Oryctolagus cuniculus: one gene and its partners. Each later gene encodes a partner of the first gene's protein in a complex. Links are inferred from orthologs where the notes say so. Each region holds a gene or a part of one and is shown in the gene's direction. Other genes may lie near its edges. The genes, in order: MAPKAP1, RICTOR and MLST8.

Evidence for each region.
Region 2: the proteins of MAPKAP1 (region 1) and RICTOR are in contact, whole or in part, in a cryo-EM structure (PDB 7PE7), measured with the Homo sapiens proteins. The link is inferred for Oryctolagus cuniculus from reciprocal best matches to the Homo sapiens genes MAPKAP1 and RICTOR. Residues at the interface, in NP_001006618.1 of Homo sapiens: Ala2, Phe3, Leu4, Asp5, Asn6, Pro7, Ile9, Ile10, Leu11, Ala12, His13, Ile14, Arg15, Gln16, Ser17, His18, Thr20, Ser21, Asp22, Asp23, Thr24, Met26, Cys27, Met29, Val30, Leu31, Ile32, Asp35, Val36, Ser84; in NP_689969.2 of Homo sapiens: Arg108, Gln137, Glu140, Thr144, Leu147, Arg148, Arg151, Lys152, Thr155, Arg182, Met183, Arg185, Ala186, Ala189, Cys192, Glu193, Leu196, Leu220, Arg222, Ile223, Glu225, Ala226, Leu227, Thr229, Thr230, His233, Asn236, Arg293, Trp295, Glu844.
Region 3: the proteins of MAPKAP1 (region 1) and MLST8 are in contact, whole or in part, in a cryo-EM structure (PDB 7PE8), measured with the Homo sapiens proteins. The link is inferred for Oryctolagus cuniculus from reciprocal best matches to the Homo sapiens genes MAPKAP1 and MLST8. Residues at the interface, in NP_001006618.1 of Homo sapiens: Lys102, Cys103, Lys104, Asn105, Ile106, Gln107, Trp108, Lys109, Arg111, Asn112, Ser113, Lys121, Leu123, Phe124, Glu125, Lys126, Lys127, Ser128, Leu129, Gly137, Lys138, Gln139, Ser140, Ile141, Leu142, Val144, Arg145, Leu146; in NP_001186102.1 of Homo sapiens: Ala29, His30, Pro77, Ile78, Ile79, Ser80, Tyr81, Asp82, Gly83, Arg98, Arg110, Ile111, Trp112, Gln120, Cys121, Gln122, Arg123, Ile124, Asn139, Gln140, Ala141, Leu157, Lys158, Ile203, Glu206, Ser279, Gly280, Asp281, Gln283, Asp322.

The regions. Positions count from the first base shown.
Region 1 is NC_091432.1:229,456,502-229,462,609, reverse strand, and holds the start of MAPKAP1 (target of rapamycin complex 2 subunit MAPKAP1), read left to right. Parts: upstream 1-2,607; 5' UTR 2,608-2,882; intron 2,883-6,108. UniProt on the Homo sapiens protein: Component of the mechanistic target of rapamycin complex 2 (mTORC2), which transduces signals from growth factors to pathways involved in proliferation, cytoskeletal organization, lipogenesis and anabolic output.
Region 2 is NC_091445.1:64,473,955-64,479,863, reverse strand, and holds the start of RICTOR (rapamycin-insensitive companion of mTOR), read left to right. Parts: upstream 1-1,764; 5' UTR 1,765-1,823; coding exon 1,824-1,872; intron 1,873-2,044; coding exon 2,045-2,092; intron 2,093-3,226; exon of another isoform or gene 3,227-3,363; intron 3,364-5,909. UniProt on the Homo sapiens protein: Component of the mechanistic target of rapamycin complex 2 (mTORC2), which transduces signals from growth factors to pathways involved in proliferation, cytoskeletal organization, lipogenesis and anabolic output.
Region 3 is NC_091450.1:33,048,416-33,054,345, reverse strand, and holds MLST8 (target of rapamycin complex subunit LST8), read left to right. Parts: upstream 1-1,760; 5' UTR 1,761-1,890; intron 1,891-2,323; 5' UTR 2,324-2,377; coding exon 2,378-2,506; intron 2,507-2,596; coding exon 2,597-2,648; intron 2,649-2,732; coding exon 2,733-2,895; intron 2,896-3,422; coding exon 3,423-3,498; intron 3,499-3,590; coding exon 3,591-3,743; intron 3,744-4,507; coding exon 4,508-4,632; intron 4,633-4,742; coding exon 4,743-4,906; intron 4,907-4,996; coding exon 4,997-5,115; 3' UTR 5,116-5,483; downstream 5,484-5,930. Other genes in the region: BRICD5 (BRICHOS domain-containing protein 5), read right to left, coding at 5,484-5,578, 5,659-5,812.

The DNA.
Region 1 (6,108 bases):
CAGTAGAAGATGGCCCAAGTCCTTGGGCCCCTGCACCCACGTGGGAGACCTAGAAGAAGCTCCTGGTTCCTGTCTTCAGATTGGCACAGCTCCAGCCGTTGCGGCCAACTGCGGAGTGAACCAGCGGATGGATGATTTCTCTCTGCCTCTCCTTCTACATGTAACTATTTCAAATAAATAATAAATAAATAATTTATTTTTTATTTAGTAAATATAAATTTCCAAAGTACAGTTTATGGATTACATTGGCTTTCCCCCCCATATTTCCCTCCCACTCACACCCCTCCCATCCCCCACTCCCTCCCATTCCATTCACATCAAGATTCATTTTCAATTCTCTTTATATACAGAAGATCGATTCAGTATATATTAAGTAAAGATTTCAACAGTTTGCACCCACACAGAAACACAAAGTGTAAAAATACTGTTTCAGTACTAGTTATAGCATTACTTCACATTGGACAACACATTAAGGACAGATCCCACATGAGAAGTAAGTACACAGTGACTCCTGTTGTTGATTTAACAATTTGACACTCTTGTTTATGGCATCAGTAATCTCCCTAGGCTCTAGTCATGAGTTGCCAAGGCTATGGAAGCCTTTTGGGTTTGCCGACTTCGATCTTATTCCAACAGGGTCACAGTCAAAGTGGAAGTTCTCTCCTCCCTTCAGAGAAAGGTACCTCCTTCTTTGATGGCCCCGTTCTTTTCACTGGGATCTCACCCGTAGAGATCTTTCATTTAGGTCTTCTTCTTCTTTTTTTTTTTCCCCCAGTGTGTCTTGGCTTTCCATGCCTAAAATACTCTCATGGGCTCTTCAGTCGGATCCGAATGCCTTAAGGGCTGATTCTGAGGCCAGAGTGCTGTTTAGGACATCTGCCATTCTATGAGTCTGCTGTGTATCCTGCTTCCCATGTAGGATTGTTGTCTCCCTTTCTGATTCTATCAGTTAGTATTACAAAATGAATTCTATCTGGGTCTCCCACATGGGTGGGAGGGACTCACTCATGCCATCATCTGCTACTTTCCCAGGCACGTTAGCATGAAGCTTGATCCCAAGTGGGGCAGCTGAGATCTTTACCCAGACTCCAATATGAGATGCTGGCATTGCCGTTGGTGGCTTAACCTGCTTCTACACAGTGCCCACCCCAGAATTATTTTAACCCATAGTCAAATAACTTCTTGAGGGCAGAGTCTCTGGCTTTTTTACAACCGAATCTCCAGTGCCTAGGCTGGGCACCCATAAGTACCTGCTTATTGACAGGTGTAGTAACAGTGGTAAGTACTCAGTATTAGCCACCTGCTTGGCTGCATTCTATGGAGTTCTACGTATTAGCTCATTCAGTCCTCACAACGGTTATGACTTTTTTGTTTCAGTCTTTTTTTTAAAAGATCTATTGTATTTATTTGAAAGTTAGAGTGACAGAGATAGGTAGTACAGAAAGAGATCTTCCATCCGTTGGTTCATTCTCCAAATGACCATGATGGTTGGGGCTGGGCCAGGCCAAAGCCAGGAGCCAGGTACTCCATCAGGATCCCAAGTGGGTGCAGGGGTCCATGTACTTGGCCCATCCTGTGCTGCTTTCCCAGGAGCATTAACAGGAAGCTGGATGGGAAGTGGACCAGCCGGGACATGAACCAGTACCCTGATATGAGAACTGGCATTGCAGGCTGCAGCTTAACCTACTGTTGCACAAGGTCTGGCTCTGTTACTTTTGATTTCCATTCTACAGATAAGGAAATTTAAAGAGGTAGCTTGGAGAGACGAAGCTACAAAACTCCTAAGTGGAGAGAGTGTTCAGTCTTTAGACTCCATGAGCGACCCGCAGGTCCAGTCGATTTCGATTTCACACAGGTCTTGGCCGTGGGAGGGACGCTCAGGCAGCTGGGTTTCAGACTGGAGCCCAGGAAAGCAGAGAAAACGAGAGAAAGGTTTGGGGGGAAGTGGGGGAACCTACCCAACCTTTCTGTCCACCCGGCCAGAGCGCCCCCGACAGGTCCCCGCCGGAACCACGGAGGGCAGGTGCAGGGCGCGCCCGCACCGACCGTGCGGTGCCAGCACCCAGCACCCCGTGCGCCTCCCTGCCGTCCTCGCCGCGGACCCGCGTCTGGGCACTACACACAATGAGGGAGGTCGCGGCACCTCCTGCGGGTGCGTGCCGTCAGCCACTGTGCGGCCCCTCACCCCTCACCCCGTTTGATTCTCACAGCCATCCCGTCATCCCGGAACTGCTGCTACGGACGGGAAAGCCGAGGCTCCGAGGGGGCAGCTGCAGTGTCCAGGGGTACACTGCAAGTCAGCAGCGGCATTCGAACCCAGGGCTTTCGGATACACGCGCTAGGCTGCCTCGTTCCTCATTTCTGGATGAACTGGGGGCTCTTCTCTTTGCAAGTGGCAAGAACGAGGGCTCCACGGGGATCGCTGACGTCGATTTCCGTCCCAGGAAAGCCGGGCGCGAGCGAACCTCGCCGGGATTCCCAGGCTCGGACCCAGGCCTCTACCGACCCCGGAGAAGAACGCGCATGCGCACGGCCCCCCGCCCCCCGGGAAGTGGCTCTCGACTCTCGAGCTTGCGCACTGCGTTCCCCAGCCAGAGGCGCCTTCCTGGTCGGGGACTTCCGGTGCGCGGGGGTGCGGTTCCGGGTCGTGGCGCGGCTCGGGGTAACAGGGCTGCTGCTCGGCCGGTCGGCGGCGGCGAGCAGCCGGGACATGAGGGCTAGTCCGGGCGACGGCAGCTGAGAGGGCCGGGAGGAGCACCGGTCCCCGAGGATCCCGAGAGTGCAGAGTCGGGGCAGGGGCCGGGAGGCGTGGGGGAGCCGGGCCCTCCTCTCAGGAACGTTTCCCAAGGCCAGCCCGGCCCGTAGTGTGGAAGCAGCTTCAGGTAAAGGTTGCCCCAGCCGCTAGCTCCCTTGCCCGCCCGCCTGCCCGCCGGCCGGCCCGCTCGGCCTCTCACGGGGCCTGGCGGCTCGGATCCCCGGCGCTGCCTGCCCAGCGGGCCGCCCGTCAGGCCCCTGCTCCGGTGGTCAGCGGCAGCCGTTCCCTGGCCCCTTCCAGGAGCGGAGGCTGCCGTGAGCCTGACGTCCGGGTGTGGACCCCGTCGTGTGGGGTGGGGGCGCGGGCGCAGGTGGCTCCTGCGGTTTCTGTAGGTGCCCCGCTCTTCACAGTGTGAACATCGAGTTCTTCAGGTGTTGCGTGCGTGGTCCTGTCTCGTCCCCCTGCACGGATGAACAGCCCCGCTGAGTTTTTGTTAGCTGGAGTGCTGCTGCAACTTTGGGTCAGGTTTTTTTTTTTTTTTTTTTTTTTTATTTGTGGGAGTCTTCTGGATCTGTTTAAGGTTGGAGAAAAAAATTGTGTACACAAGGGTAGTATTTTAACCAGAGACACCCCTTCCCCAAATTGACTCAGAAATCGGATAAAACTGCATTCTGAATGAACGCAAGTGCTGTTTGAAGCCCACCGAAGTGGCACCGTGGAAAGCATCATGTTGTTGTAAACCCAAGTCAGCAAAGTTGAAAACTTCTCGGGTGTGACCCAGTGGCGGTACACCGCTAGAAAAAGCCGGACTTCTCGTGCTGTTTGGACAGGCAGGCGGGGGTGGATCTTCAGCGTTAAAACCCACCAGGACAGCTAACGAGGCACCCTGCTGTAGTCTCGGGTGCTGAGAGCCCACGCCGGGTGCTCCCGTGGTGCCGGGGGCGCCCTTGATGAAGTGATAATGGTTTTCATCCTCTCCAGCGTACCCACGTGCGAGCTCTCTGGGCCTGTGGCGTGTGCTGGTAGCCCCTCTCCCTCCCACTGTGGGCCAGACCACACTCGTGCCTGTGCGCCCCCCGACCTGGCTCGGGGCAGAGGCCCCCACTCGGATCCGTTGCTCTAGGCTCTCACGTCGCCCTTTGTCTTTGGCAGGGCGTGAGAAGGTTTCCCCTTTTCTGTGGTCCTCTCGAGAAACGCCCCTTGGCCTAGCTGAAGTTGGCCTCCCTCACCCAGTTTGGGACAACCCCAACTAGAAATGATTTCTCTAGACTCCTGTAAGCACTCATTGTTGTATTTACAGTTATTTCATTTGGCAAACAGTTACTGAGTATGGGTGTGTGCCAGGGGCAGTGTTAAGCAGTGTGCAGATACATCAGACTGGGTTCTGGCCTGCAGGGAGCTCAGCTTAGTGAGACAGATAAGGAAATTATAATTCCAACACAGTGATCAGTACAGAGTTCTTTTTGTGATACATTTGTACAGAAGGGGGACTGGTCGTTCACTTTTGAGGGGTGGGATATGGCCAGGGGATGCTTTGTAATGCATACTTTATTCAGTATTTATGTATTGCATGTTATATATCAGTTTTTCTTGTTTTATCATTTTAACCTCAATTTATAGATTAGGAAGACTTAGGATAAATGATGTAACTGATACAAGACAGCCATGGTCAAACCCAGATCTCTCTGATGCTTAAATCTGTACTTTTCCATTACTTGGCTTGCCGTCTTTCTCATCCCATAGCTATCTAATCAAGAACATCCTGAAACTATACAAAGGAAAAAATATGAATATTAAAGTGCATGGTACTAAGAATCATTTGAATGTATCACAGCCTTCCAAGGCAAGTTGGTAGTAGCTGATCACCTCAACTTTGAATATGGGCAAAGAAGATAGTCTAGAGAATTAGCATGGGCTCTGTGTTCAGTTCCTGGTCTCTCTTCTGACTAGATAAGTGACCTTTGGCAAGTTTCTTAACCCTAGGCATCATTTTCCTCAACTAGGCGTAGGGATGAGGGATGCTACTGACCTCACAGGTGTTCGGAATATGTAGTGAGCTACTGTGGATAAAGGGCCTGGTGTAGGTTGAGCATCCCTGATCCAAAAATCTAAAATCTGAAATTTTCTTTTTTAATTTCTTTTTTTTTGAGAGGCAAAAGGACACACAGTTCCCAATCACTGGTCCACTCTCCGAATTTCTGCAATGGCTGGGGCTGGGCCAGGGCAAAAATCAGGAGCCAGGAGCTCAGTGAAGGTCTCCCACATGGATGGCAGGAACCCAGTCCCTTGTGTCCTGATTGCATCAGCAGGAAGCTGGGAGTCAGGAGCTGGAAATGGGTAGGGACCCCAGGCGCCTTGACATGTGGGCTTCTCAAGTGGGTCCCAGCCACCGAGCCAAACACCCACCCCCAAGAGCAGAAACTTTGAGCACTACATGACTATCAAAAAGCTTCAGTTTTTGGAGTATTTGGAATTTTGGAATTTTGGATTAAGCCTATGGAAATACTTCAAAACCTGAAAAAATTAAAATCCTATATAGTTCTGGTCTCAAATATCTTTTTTAAGATTTATTTATTTATTTGAAAGTCAGAGTTACTCAGAGAGGAGAGGCAGAGAGATAGAGAAGTCTTCTATCTACTGGTTCACTCCCCAGCTGGCCACAACGGCTGGAGCTGTGCCTATCTGAAGCCAGGAGCCAGGAGCTTCCTCCAGGTCTCCCACGAAGGTGCAGGGGCCCAAGCACATGGGCCATCTTCTACTACTTTCCCAGGCCATAGCAGAGAGCTTGATCAGAAGTGGAGCAGCTGGGACTTGAACCGGCACCCATATGGGATGCCAGCACTGCAGGCGGTGGCTTTACTTGCTATGCCATAGCGCCGGCCCTGGGTCCCAAATATTTTGGATAAGAGACATTCAACTTGTGCATGGCAAAGCCTCCAAGATGACAGGTGTGAAATTTGGAGGAATAATGCCTGTGACGTGGCTCTAGAGTGCGGATGAGCCACAGCCTGAGCAAAGCAAGCCGTTAGCTCTTTGGTCAGAGTGTTGGGGTAAAGGGAGGGGCAGTGGAGGTCAGAGTCTGGCAGATTGAGTGCCAGGCAAGAGGGGGAAATTCTAGTGGTCTTGCTTTTTTTTCCCTTTTTTTTTTCCTAAATGATTTATTTCTTTGAAAGAGTTACAGAGAGGGAGAGACAGACCTTCCATCTGCTGGTTCACTCCCCAAATGGCCAGGGCTGGGCCAGGCTGAAGCCAGGAGCCAGGAGCCAGGAGCTTCTTCTGGGTCTCCCACATGGGTGCAGGGGCCTAAGGACTTGGGCCATCTTCTGCTGTTTTCCCAGGCACATTAGCAGGGA
Region 2 (5,909 bases), on another chromosome or scaffold:
AGCACCTGGGCCATCCTCCACTGCACTCCCTGGCCACAGCAGAGGGCTGGCCTGGAAGAGGGGCAACCGGGACAGAATCCGGCGCCCCGACCGGGACTAGAACCCGGTGTGCCGGCGCCGCTAGGCAGAGGATTAGCCTAGTGAGCCGCGGCGCCGGCCCTGTTCCTGTTATTAAAATTACTGTTATTGGCAGGACAAATTTACTTAAAGTAAGGTCATCCTTAAATCGAAGTGCAGTATGAGCAGCACCACGTTGTTTGAATGCACACGTAGTAGGAAAAGCACCTGAAACACATAGATGGTGGGTAGCATGTAAGAAAGCCGTGCTCCTACTTTACTTTTCTTACAATGCACCTTTACAAGTGACATATATATATATATGAATGAAATACACATGCACTATAGGACATTTAAAACATCCAGAGCATACGTAATTCCACAACTGAGGGAGGAAAACCAACCAGCATTCCGATGTCTATCTTTTCAGACTTCTATCTGTGGACACATCCATTTTGTGATGCATCCTTTTAATGTGTGTGTATTTCAGAAGTTTCCAAACCAGGAAATTTGTAACCTCTTGCTTGACTCAATAATGTGAACCATTGTTTCTTATTAACCTACTAGATTCGTATCGTTTTTTGAAACGGCTGCTGCACTTCACACACCTCTCAAGTTTGGTCATTGAAGTGGTCCCACTTGTTCACTATTATTAGCAACAGCAAAAAAAAAAAAAAAAAAAAAAACCAAAAAACTCCAACATTTCTTTTTAGGGTAGAGGTTGTATTTCCTGGCAGCTGAGAAAGAGAAGGGGTTAAGGGTATAGAGCCCCACGTTCAGTCTCTAGGGAGTTAGAAGACGAGTCGAGGACCAAGAGCGAGAGAGCTCATCCTCTTTAGAGTCCATCTGGTCCCAGAGGAAGTTGCTGCATCAGGGGTCAGATGTGTCTATTAGGGTATCAAAGAACACTCGCCCGAATTAAAACTCCTGTCCTTCCCAACTGCTCGATTTGTGTACAGAAATACGCCTTCACAACCGCCCCATCTGCCACCGTTCCGGGAGTTGCAGACACAAGCCGGGACTCCGCTCTCGGCCCCCGCAGAGAGGAAACCGCGTCCCGGGGCCTGCGCGGGGCGCGCGGGGCGCACTCCGCTCCCGGGCCGGGGCCCTCCCGCCACCTCGGCCAGGTGGGCTCCAACTCCACTACCCCGCCGCCCCGACTCTGCCCACCCCCCAGAGCTGAGCGTGGCACGGCTAGGAACAGAACTCAGCGACGCGTTAACTTGGTCAGGGAAAAGCGAGTCTCTTCTCGCAGCGCGGGATTTACGGGAGTCTACACTGCGCGGGGCGCCGCTCCGCACGCTCGTCTGAGCGCGGCCGCGGATTCCAGGGCTAAGCCGGCGGCAGCACGCGCTCCGAGCAGGTGGCCGCTCGGCCGCAGCCGCCCTCCTCTGCCCCTGCGCCCCTCGCTCGGCTCGGACGCCTGGTGTCCGCGGCGGCCGGAGGAGAAGCATCCTCCACGCCGCCAACTCCATCAATGGGACTCCCCGCGTGGGAAACGTCCCCTCCCGGAGGACTTGCCCTCCGACGGCCCAGCCGCTCGCTCGCCTCGCCTCCCTGGGCCGGGGCGGGCGGACGCCACGAGCTCCTCCTCCCGGACCCCGGGTGGACGCGGCGCTCCCTCCGCGGCCGGAGCGCAGCCGGCACCACCCGCCGCCGAGGGGGCGGGGGCGATGCCGCGGGGGGCGGGCGCGGCGCGCGGGGAGGGGAAGGGGTTCTCGCGCGATTGGGCGAGGTTTCCGGTGTTGTGACTGAAACCCGTCAATATGGCGGCGATCGGCCGCGGCCGCTCTCTGAAGAACCTCCGAATACGAGGTAAGCGCGCTGCAGCCCTCACTCCTCACCTCTCGGCGCCCGCCACCCCTGGCACTTGCCTTCCCCTGGCCCTGGGTCGGGGGAGCGGAGCGGGGGCGCTGGCCGGAGCCTGGGCAGCCGCCGCTGGCCTGCGAGCGAATCCTAATTGGGGCTGTGTGTCTGTTTCGCGCAGGGCGGAATGACAGCGGCGAGGAGAACGTCCCGCTGGATCTGACCCGAGGTAACGCGGGGCGCCGAGAGCGCCGGCGAGGGCGCGCTGCTGGGGAGGAGCTGGGGCCGGGGCGGGCCTCGCACGGGACCCGCGACGGGGACGGGGGGCGCAGCCCGAGCCCCGCCTGCCGGCCCGCGGGAGCCCCGCCAGGCCGCCTCGCTGAACCCATCCCCCTTCCCGGTGCCCGCTTCACTCTGCCTGAACCCTTCTCTGGGGGCCTCGGGCTGCCGCGGGGGGGGGGGGCGGCTGGGGAGCCGCGAGCGGAACTGGCGGAGCCGGCGACCCCTGGGCTCGGTGGCCCCCGGGGGCAGCGGCTTCCACCCGTGCCGAAGCTCGTGCCGCCGGCTCCCGGGGCCGGCCGGAGGGAGGTGGAGGTTGTTATTTGGGTTGCAGGAGGATGTTTGAGGGAAGAGCGACCACATCCTGCCCTCCCCGTCTCCCGGCGCAGAAGCCGGACCTGCTGGCTTTTTTGCTCACTGCGTGCCTGCCTTTTTTTTTTTTTTTTTCTCTTTGCCCCGCGTCCTGTGGGGACCGCCAGCATCGGTAGCTCGGTGCTGAGCCCTGGAGCCGGTCAGGACTGCTGCGTGGCTGGTTTCCGCCGTGTTTTCCTTCTGTTTCTGTTTCCCGGGCCGCTGGGACCGTGCTTCGCCGAAGACCGCCCCCTCGCCCTGCTGCAGGTTCATTGTTTACCTCCTGCAGTGGCGACGGGTTTGTTTACACCTTGGGAACTGAGTGACCCTGGCTTCTCTTTTGAAGGACCGGCTCCGGCTCCACTCCGTATTCTCCATAGCAGGGACGGGACCGTAGTGGGGTTTTATTCCACCTTGTCTTGCCGAAGATTGCGTGATTGGGTACTTGCGACGAGGTTCTTTTCTGCTGCACGATAAACAGGATTTGGTCTGCTGGTTCGCGCCAAGTCCCGTTGCGTACCAGCTGTAGCTTGTGGTGTAACGTGGTTCAGCTGCATAGCATCAGTTGCTTGTTGAGCTCTGTAAAGCGCTGTAGGAAGTTGAAGTCGTCGTAAACAGTCGATACGCGGTCGATGTGCTACTTAACCCTATGTTCTTGACGTAACAATCGCTCTCCACGTATTTATGGTGGACGTGGGCTTGGTGTTGAGGATCATCGCTGAATTAAAGCGTAGTATGATTTGTTCTGTATGTCCTGATGGGAGGTAGCCTTTGTAAACTGGAAGGCCGGTTTTCATGGAGCTACGAGAGTGTATTTTTGTAACCGTGTTTTATTCTGCAACTTCAAGGACGGAGTTTTCGTGAACTTTGGTAGGCAAGAGAGTTTCAAAAATACAATATAGTAGGGCTTGAGTACTAAAAATGGCACTGATTACGATCACCAGTGCACTGCTTTGGAGCAGTTTTTCAGCAGCTTAGAGGTTAGAAAGTAGTGAAGAAACATGTCGTCAGCCTTTCGGCTTTTGTGCAGTAGTTTGAAAACTCTATATGACAGACATAGGGAAAAAATTTGTATGAAATGTTTGCTGTTTTCAAGGAAACCTGTGAACAAAAATAAGGGTCATTCTTAACAGGCCTGAAATTTAGCATTTTGAGTTAAATAACAGATGTAGTTTATTAGAGATTTGTGTACACACACACACACACAAGCATGTGTGTTTTTAGAGGGAGGTGAAAAGTACATACTAGGTAAACTTGAGGTCAATTTGTGCATTAAAAACCTACTTGGGCATGCTAGAAATAAATTTTAGTTGTACCTTAAATTTTGTTGAATTTATTGAATTTGTTGAGCTATATTTGTATTTCATTGTTTTTCTGATATCAAAAATTTTGGTTGTATAAAAGCTCAGATATAAATTTGGATACCTTGGGTTTACTCTAGTTTTACTCAGGTACACATGTAGCTCTGTATGTTTATTATTTAAAATGCTATATTCTCTAATAATTTATTTTATAAATAACTGTTCATAAGCATTTCCAGGATTATATAAAAATAATACAGAGACTACTGTTTGTTTGCCCTGACAAAATGTATTTCAGTTTGGAATACATGTACACAGCCAGTTGAAACCAATTTCACAAGTGATTTACAACTATGAGTGAGAGGTTACATGAGAACTCTATTCCTGAATCATAAGGAAGTTTATAATAAAGAAAATCTGAGTTAGATTCATTTTATAGCAACACTGTTTAAAGAAACTATTATTCTGACAGACGTTTCATTGTTCAAAAAAGGCTTGTGGATCTAACTTGAAGAAAGTTCATGAGGAATTAAACTTTAGTAATGATTTGAGAACTGTGAGGCAGTCTGGGTTACAGCTGAAGGGCAGCTGTTTGTGGATTGAATTACAGTATGTAAAAAAGATAAAGTTCAGGCAACCAAATAACTTTTTGATTAATGTCAAGGCGCCGTTTTCTCTTACTCTAATTATTTTCATGTAATCTTTGAGAGGTTTATTGTATAGATATCTAACAAAGTTCTTTATAAAATAGAAGTTAAAATCATTGTAACCCCTAAGGGAGCCATTAGTGTGTGATGAAAAAGAGCTAACTATGAAGTCAAATAATTCTGGGTTGTAATCTCAGCTGTGATATTTAGGAGGTGGGTGATTTGGCGCAACTTATTTGACCTTGCTTAACCCCTCCTTTCTTCATCTCAAAAAGAAGAGGTAACCTCAAAGGATTATTGAGAATCTGAGAAATAAATGAGGTAGTTCTTATAGTACTCAGTACAGGATCAGGTACTTTGTCATATTAGCAACTTTCCTACCATGTCAAATCAAGATTCTTAAATCACATTGGAGATATTTCAAATAATTGTTTAGAGTATGTACATGTTAATAAGAAGTAAGGATTTTGGTATTCAAGCTTCCTTTTGTTGAGACCTTGTATTGTACTAATTAAGTATAGTTTATCTGAAGTAGAGGTCCTGAGTGTAATGACTATAAAAAGAGAACTCTTTTTTTAAAAAATAAAGATTGCCAGTAAATTAAGTCTAATGAAGTACAACCCGTTATATGCACTTAAGATGAAATGTGATACTTTATTTTATAGAATCTTAGAATTTTTCTGTGACTTCAGAAAATTTCTTAAGCTGACTAGGCTAGTCTTACGAGCTTCTTGGGGCCTGCTGGTGTTCTAAGGTTCTTTGATTCTGGTACTAGTGTTAGTGCTGTGCTTCCTACTTGGAGTTTTGCAGTTAAAAATGTTGATGAATTAAGTTTGACCTAGGATCAGGATTTTGTAGTAGATTCCACAGTGAACTTGTTGATCATTTTTGCTTTTCATTTTATTCTCTTAGCTACTCTACTTAATTTGTGAAAGTCCCCAATATTTGCTATTGATATCATTAAATACTGTCTCTGTGCTGCCTGCCAAAATGTATTTTGAAACTCAAATGCTTCCCTTAGCAACTTCAGCTGAAAAGATAGCCTATTTAAAAAAGCAGTCCAGTAGTGTATCTCTTCCTGGTACTAAATAACTTGAAAAGACAGTGTTCTTCCTGGGTATGCCCTGCTAGTATAATTATTATTTGAAGTGAATTCTCAGAACATGGACACCTGGATTCAAATAAAATTATTAAAATATGATTTATTTAAAGTGCTATTAAGTTTTATTATATTTTGTTATTCATTTCCATTAGTAAGAGTAAAAAAGTTGACTGTCTTAGTTTAATAAGCAGAAAAGTAGGAAGGTCTTCTGAAATGATATGGGATTTCAACATTAACTTTGTTTTCTCTTTTCTTCTTGTTAGGAGGTTATTTGTTCAAGCTATTACTTCAGTAGATGAAATGTACAGTATAAAATGAGAACTGTAAAATGTATACTAGTTGCTGAAGGAATACAATTGTGAAAGG
Region 3 (5,930 bases), on another chromosome or scaffold:
CTCCTGGCTTCCGGCTTCGGCCTGGCTCTGCCCTAGCCATCACGGCCATTTGGAGAGTGAACCAGCGATGGAAGATCTCCCCCGACCCCCTACCCCGGTAACTCTGCCTTTCAAATGAACACATTTAAAAAATAATACACTTCACAGTCTTTCTGAATTTTTAAAACTTATTTATGGGGAGAGCACAGCACACCACCCACCGGTCACTTCTCGAATGTCTGTGATCGCTGGACAGCGGGCCAGGAGCTGCTTCTGGGTCTCCCGTGCGGGTGCAGGGGCCCCAGGACTTGGGCCACCACCTGCTGCCTCTCAGGTGAGCACTGGCAGGAAGCCGGAGCCGGAACCGCGGCACTCTGATGCGGGAGCCAGCACCTCCAGGAGCACCACGGCACCCGCCCCCAAACCTGGGTTTCTGAAAGACCCTCTCCAAGGTGGGGGGCAACCAGGAGGGGGCAGAAGCGGGTGTTGTGGCAGGCGAGGTTGTGGGGGTGGGGGGTGGGCTCCAGGCAGAGCCGAGGCCAGGCCAGCAGTGAAGGTGGCCTGGGTCCCACCCAGCTGCGACACGCAGGGCCTGGCGGGGGGGTGGCCGCCCGGGCTGGGGGAGGGGCTGGCGTCTGGGGGGCATCTGAGAGCCAACGCGCAGCAGGGAGGCTCGGAGGAGCTGGAGAGAGACAGACAGGGCGGGGGGGGGGTTCGGGGGGTTTGGGAAGCCCTGCCGCTGGGGCTTGGTCCGTCCAGGGGAGATTGGGTGCCCGGGCAAGGACAGAGGTGATGCCCACTTGCGGGCTCAGTGCTGCCAAGCGCAGAGCAGAGCCAGGAAGGGGAGGGGAAGTATCTGGGTGGTCAGCCAGGGGACAGCAGAGCCTGGCGGGATTCTGAGAGCTGTGGGACACAAGGCAGACAGGATGGAGTTGAGAAGTGACGGGGCCGCCTGGAGCTGTCTGCAGCAGAGGGTTCTGGGGTTGCTGTATGGTGTTCACAGGCTCAGGGCGCAGGACGGACCCTGGCCTGGCCGTGGAGCCGAGGGATGAGCTCACACCTTGCGTCCAAGCGCCGGGGTCTCAGGCCTTGTGCGGCTCGCGGTGCAGCCTCCTGCCGCCGCACAGCCTGGGACGGCTCCACCGCCTAGGTCCCAGCACCCCGCGGGTGGGGGATCCCGATCACGTCCTCGGCTCCCAGCTCCAGCTCGGCTCACCCAAGGCCGTTGTGGAATGCGAGTACTCTCTCTTTAATTGATTAATAAAAACTTCAATTAATTACAGATTTTAAAAGGCTAGGGGTAGGAAGGAGGCAGGGAAGGTACAAGAAGGAAGATTCCTGGGGATGGGGGGGACTGGAGCCACATACACCTGCTCTGAGCCTGGAGGGGACGGCGATCCGTCTACACCCGCTCCGAGGCTAGAGCGGACACAGGTGTCATGGAGCCAGCAGTGCAGAGGCTAGGGACGGAGAAGCCGGCGGAGGGGGCTCCTCGGCTGAGGACTGGACAGGTCTGCAAGGCCAGGACGAGGCGAGCAGAACCACGGATGCCCTGGCACATTTTACTCTCGTTTAATAACACGTCCATGCCTAAGCAAGCCTCACCAACAGAAAAACTACTCGTCCCAGCCTGCGCGGCGGAGGGCATGGGGACGCGACTGTCCCCTGGGCCCAAGCTGGGACAGGCGCCGCCTTCAGAGCGCCGGGCGCCGCTGCGCTCAAAGGGACTCCCCCGCCCCAGGACTTTGGTCTCGTCCCCACCCACCTCCACCGCCCCCCCCGCGCCACCGGGCTCCATGGTCTCGCCTCAAGTGCCCATCGATAACTCTACGCTCGGCCTTGGCCTCGATCGATTCGCTCCAACTCCCCTCGCCGTCCTGGAGCACGGAGGAGTGCGGAGCCGCATGTAAGGTACGGAGGCCGTGGCGAGGCCTGGGAAGCGGCTTCTGGGTGGCCGGGAGAGCGTGGCTGGGGAGAAGGAGCCGGCAGGACGGGCCCACGGCGGCCGACGGGGCACGGGGCAGCCGGGGTCCGACCGGACTGCTCCCCCACCGCCATCGGACCCGGACACCGCCTGCTACGCATGCGCAGCCGCAGCGCTCGGCTCCCCCCCACCCCGGCTCGCCCTCCGCCCTGCGCACGCGCAGCCCGCCCCTGCGGCAGAGCGACGCCCTGGGCGTGACTGCCCCCTGCCGGCCCCAGGCGGGATGGCGTCCCAGCCGTGCTCGTGCGGCGGGGAGCGCGGCGCGCGTCCCCATCTCCCAGGTGGGAACGCGCCGCGCGGGCCCGTCACCCGCTCAGCACGCGTGGGCATGCCCTGAGTGCTTGCCGTGTGTGCCCTCAGATGCTCTGACCCTTGGCGCCAGCCTTCAGCCCTCGGGCCCGCGCAGGCCCCGCCATGAACACCTCCCCAGGCACGGTGGGCAGCGACCCCGTCATCTTGGCCACCGCCGGCTATGACCACACGGTGCGGTTCTGGCAGGCCCACAGCGGGATCTGCACCCGCACGGTGCAGCACCAGGACTCTGTATCCCCGCGGAGGGGGAGAGGGTGGCCGGGCGGGGTGGGAAGCCCAAAGCAGCTCTGGCCAGCTGTGCAGCCTCCTTGACAGAACCAGCAGGTGAACGCGCTGGAGATCACGCCCGACCGCAGCATGATCGCCGCTGCAGGTACTGGGACCCCTGACCTCTGACCCTGACTCCCGCGGGTCCTCCCCGGGCACAGGCGCACTCGAGTTCTGCTCGCGTCCCCAGGGTACCAGCACATCCGCATGTATGACCTCAACTCCAATAACCCCAACCCCATCATCAGCTACGACGGGGTCAACAAGAACATCGCGTCGGTGGGCTTCCACGAGGATGGCCGCTGGATGTACACGGGTGGAGAGGACTGCACGGCCCGGATCTGGGACCTCAGGTGCGGGGCGGGGGCGAGGCCCCGAGTGTGTGCAGAGCCCGAGAGGGGCGAGGCCTGGAGACCAGGCACAGCCCGAGAGGGGCGAGGCCCGGAGACCAGGCACAGCCTGAGAGGGGCGAGGCCCGGAGAGCGCGCAGAGCCCGAGCCGGTGTTCTGTGCAGCTGAGGGGAAGTGGGGAAAACGGAATCGGTGGATTGCATCACTGCCTTGCGTCCAAGGGGCCGGCTTTTTGTTTTCTTAGCTTTTTGTGTCTGAAAGGCACAGTGACACAGAGGGGGAGAGGCAGCGTCCATCCACTGGCTCCGCCCCACATGGCTGCAGCTGGGCCTGAGCAGGCCAGCGCCTGGAGTCAGGAGCTCCATCCTGGTCTCCCAGAGGCACTGGCAGGGAGCGGCCTGGGCTCGAAGCAGTGTTCCGGCACCGCAGGGGGAGCTTCAGTCGCTGGCCGCAACCCCAGCCCTAGGGGGCGCCTTTTAGTCCTCTCAGGCCGCGGCCATCGGCTGACGTGTGCGCGCCCCACCCCGCAGGTCCCGGAACCTGCAGTGCCAGCGGATCTTCCAGGTGAACGCGCCCATTAACTGCGTGTGCCTGCACCCCAACCAGGTGAGGAGCGGCTGCCGGCGGGCTCCCGGGCCTGCAGGGCAGGGGTCCCGCCCGGCCTCACCTGCCCTGCCCTGCCCTGCCCTTCCCTGCAGGCGGAGCTCATCGTGGGCGACCAGAGCGGCGCTATACACATCTGGGACCTGAAGACGGACCACAACGAGCAGCTGATCCCCGAGCCCGAGGTCTCCATCACATCTGCCCACATCGACCCCGACGCCAGCTACATGGCCGCCGTCAACAGCACCGTGAGTCCGCTGCGGGTGGCGGCTGGGGCAGCCCAGCTCCCCGTCCCGGGCCCTGCCGCCCACTCAGCCGCCACAGCCCAGGACCGCCCAAGTCTGGCCACTTCCCCGAGAGCCGCTGGCTCCCCAGCCACCCCCGTGGGCGCCAGGAGCAAGGCCCTGGCCCTGCTGGGCTCGCCGGCCTCCTCTGCTCCCTTTGCTTCGTGGAGACCCCAGCCCTGTGTCCCCAGACCTCCCTCCTCCTGGCCTCCTGCCTGCAGGCCAGTGGCATCCTTAAGGAGGTTGCGTGTGAGCCTCCCACTCACCCACAACCCCGGCCGAGGTCCCCGTGCGCGGACAGCCCCCAGGGTGGCCTCCCGTTCACCCGCACCCCCGGCCGAGGTCCCCGTGCGCGGACAGCCCCCAGGGTGGCCTCCCGTTCACCCGCACCCCCGGCCGAGGTCCCCGTGCATGGACGGCCCCCAGGGTGGCCTCCCGTTCACCCACACCCCCGGCCGAGGTCCCCGTGCGCGGACGGCCCCCAGGGTGGCCTCAAGCTCACCCGCACCCCCGGCCGAGGTCCCCGTGCGCAGATGGCCCCCAGGGTGGCCTCCCGCTCACCCGCACCCCCGGCCGAGGTCCCCGTGTGCGGACGGTCCCCAGGGTGGCCTCCCGCTCACCCGCACCCCCGGCCGAGGTCCCCGTGCGCAGCTGGCCCCCAGGGTGGGTCCTGGCTCCGGGCTCAGCCTCCAGGGTGCGCTTCATTCTGCTTCCTGTGACTTCCCTAGGGAAACTGCTACGTGTGGAACCTGACGGGGGGCATCGGTGACGAGGTGACCCAGCTCATCCCCAAGACCAAGATCCCAGCGCACACGCGCTACGCCCTGCAGTGCCGCTTCAGCCCCGACTCCACGTGCGTGCCGCCTGCGGGCTGCGGGCCGTCGGGCCCACCTGGTGCATGGCAGGGGGCCCGGGCGGGAAGGGCGGCCGGGTGACACGCCCCGTGCGCCTCCTGCCCTCCAGGCTCCTGGCCACCTGCTCGGCTGACCAGACCTGCAAGATCTGGAGGACGTCCAACTTCTCCCTGATGACGGAGCTCAGCATCAAGAGCGGCAACCCCGGGGAGTCGTCCCGCGGCTGGATGTGGGGCTGCGCCTTCTCCGGGGACTCGCAGTACATCGTCACCGGTGAGCTGGCCGCCCGCCCCGCCGGGCCTGCCTCGGGCCGGGCTGGCCAGGCTGGGGCTGTGCCTGAGCCTCCCCCCTGCCTCCCCGCAGCTTCCTCTGACAACCTGGCCCGGCTCTGGTGTGTGGAGACTGGAGAGATTAAGAGAGAGTACGGCGGCCACCAGAAAGCTGTGGTCTGCTTGGCCTTCAATGACAGCGTGCTGGGCTAGCCTGTGCCTCCTGGGGACGGCCGCCGGCTGTGTGGCAGACCACGCAGGCTCGCCTCTGCCCACCCAGGCCGGCTGGACCCCCCAGTGGCTCGGTGCTGCCAGGCTGCTCCGAGGCGCTCAGCTCTCCGCCGCGGCCCCTGAGGCAGGCTGCACCTCACAGCTGGGCCCGGTGGCTCGGGGGGCTGGTGCGCACCCCCAAGCCAGTCCTCCCCGCCCTCCCGCTCCAGGCCCCCTTTCAAGCCCCGAGGCCACAGAGGAGAGTGGCCGCACTGCCAGGTGGGAGCTTTATTGGTGCATTCCAGGCGGCCTCCGTGGTGGGAGGTGCCGGCGGCCCGTGGGGCGGGGGCCGGGCTGGCCAGGCCAGGGGCTTAGTCCGGGAGATAATAAAAGCAGACGGACACGCAGATGTGGCTTGGGAAGCAGATGTCCATGCAAAGGTAGATCAGCCGCTGCCTCTGGGGCCCTGGGGGGAGGGGCTCGTGAGTCCCGAGGGCCCGGCCGGCCCTGCCACGGCCCCTCCTCGCACAGCGCGTGCCGACTCACCCTCTGCCCGCCGGGCCCAGTAGATGGGGGTCTCTGCACAGAGGCGCTGCACCGCAGCCCCGACCTGGGCGGGGTCCACTGCACGGCTCCCGAGCACGGCCAGCAGCTCCTGGCTGCGGTGGGTATCCTGGCCGGGGCTGCAAGACCCCTGGGCCTGCAGAGAAGGCTCTGGTGGGCCAGGGGTCGGGGTGCGGCCAGCTGCCCAGGCCCCGCCCCCAGCTCTTGTCAGCAGCCCCGCGAGGGGGAAGACAGAGCTTTCTGTTCTCTGAAAC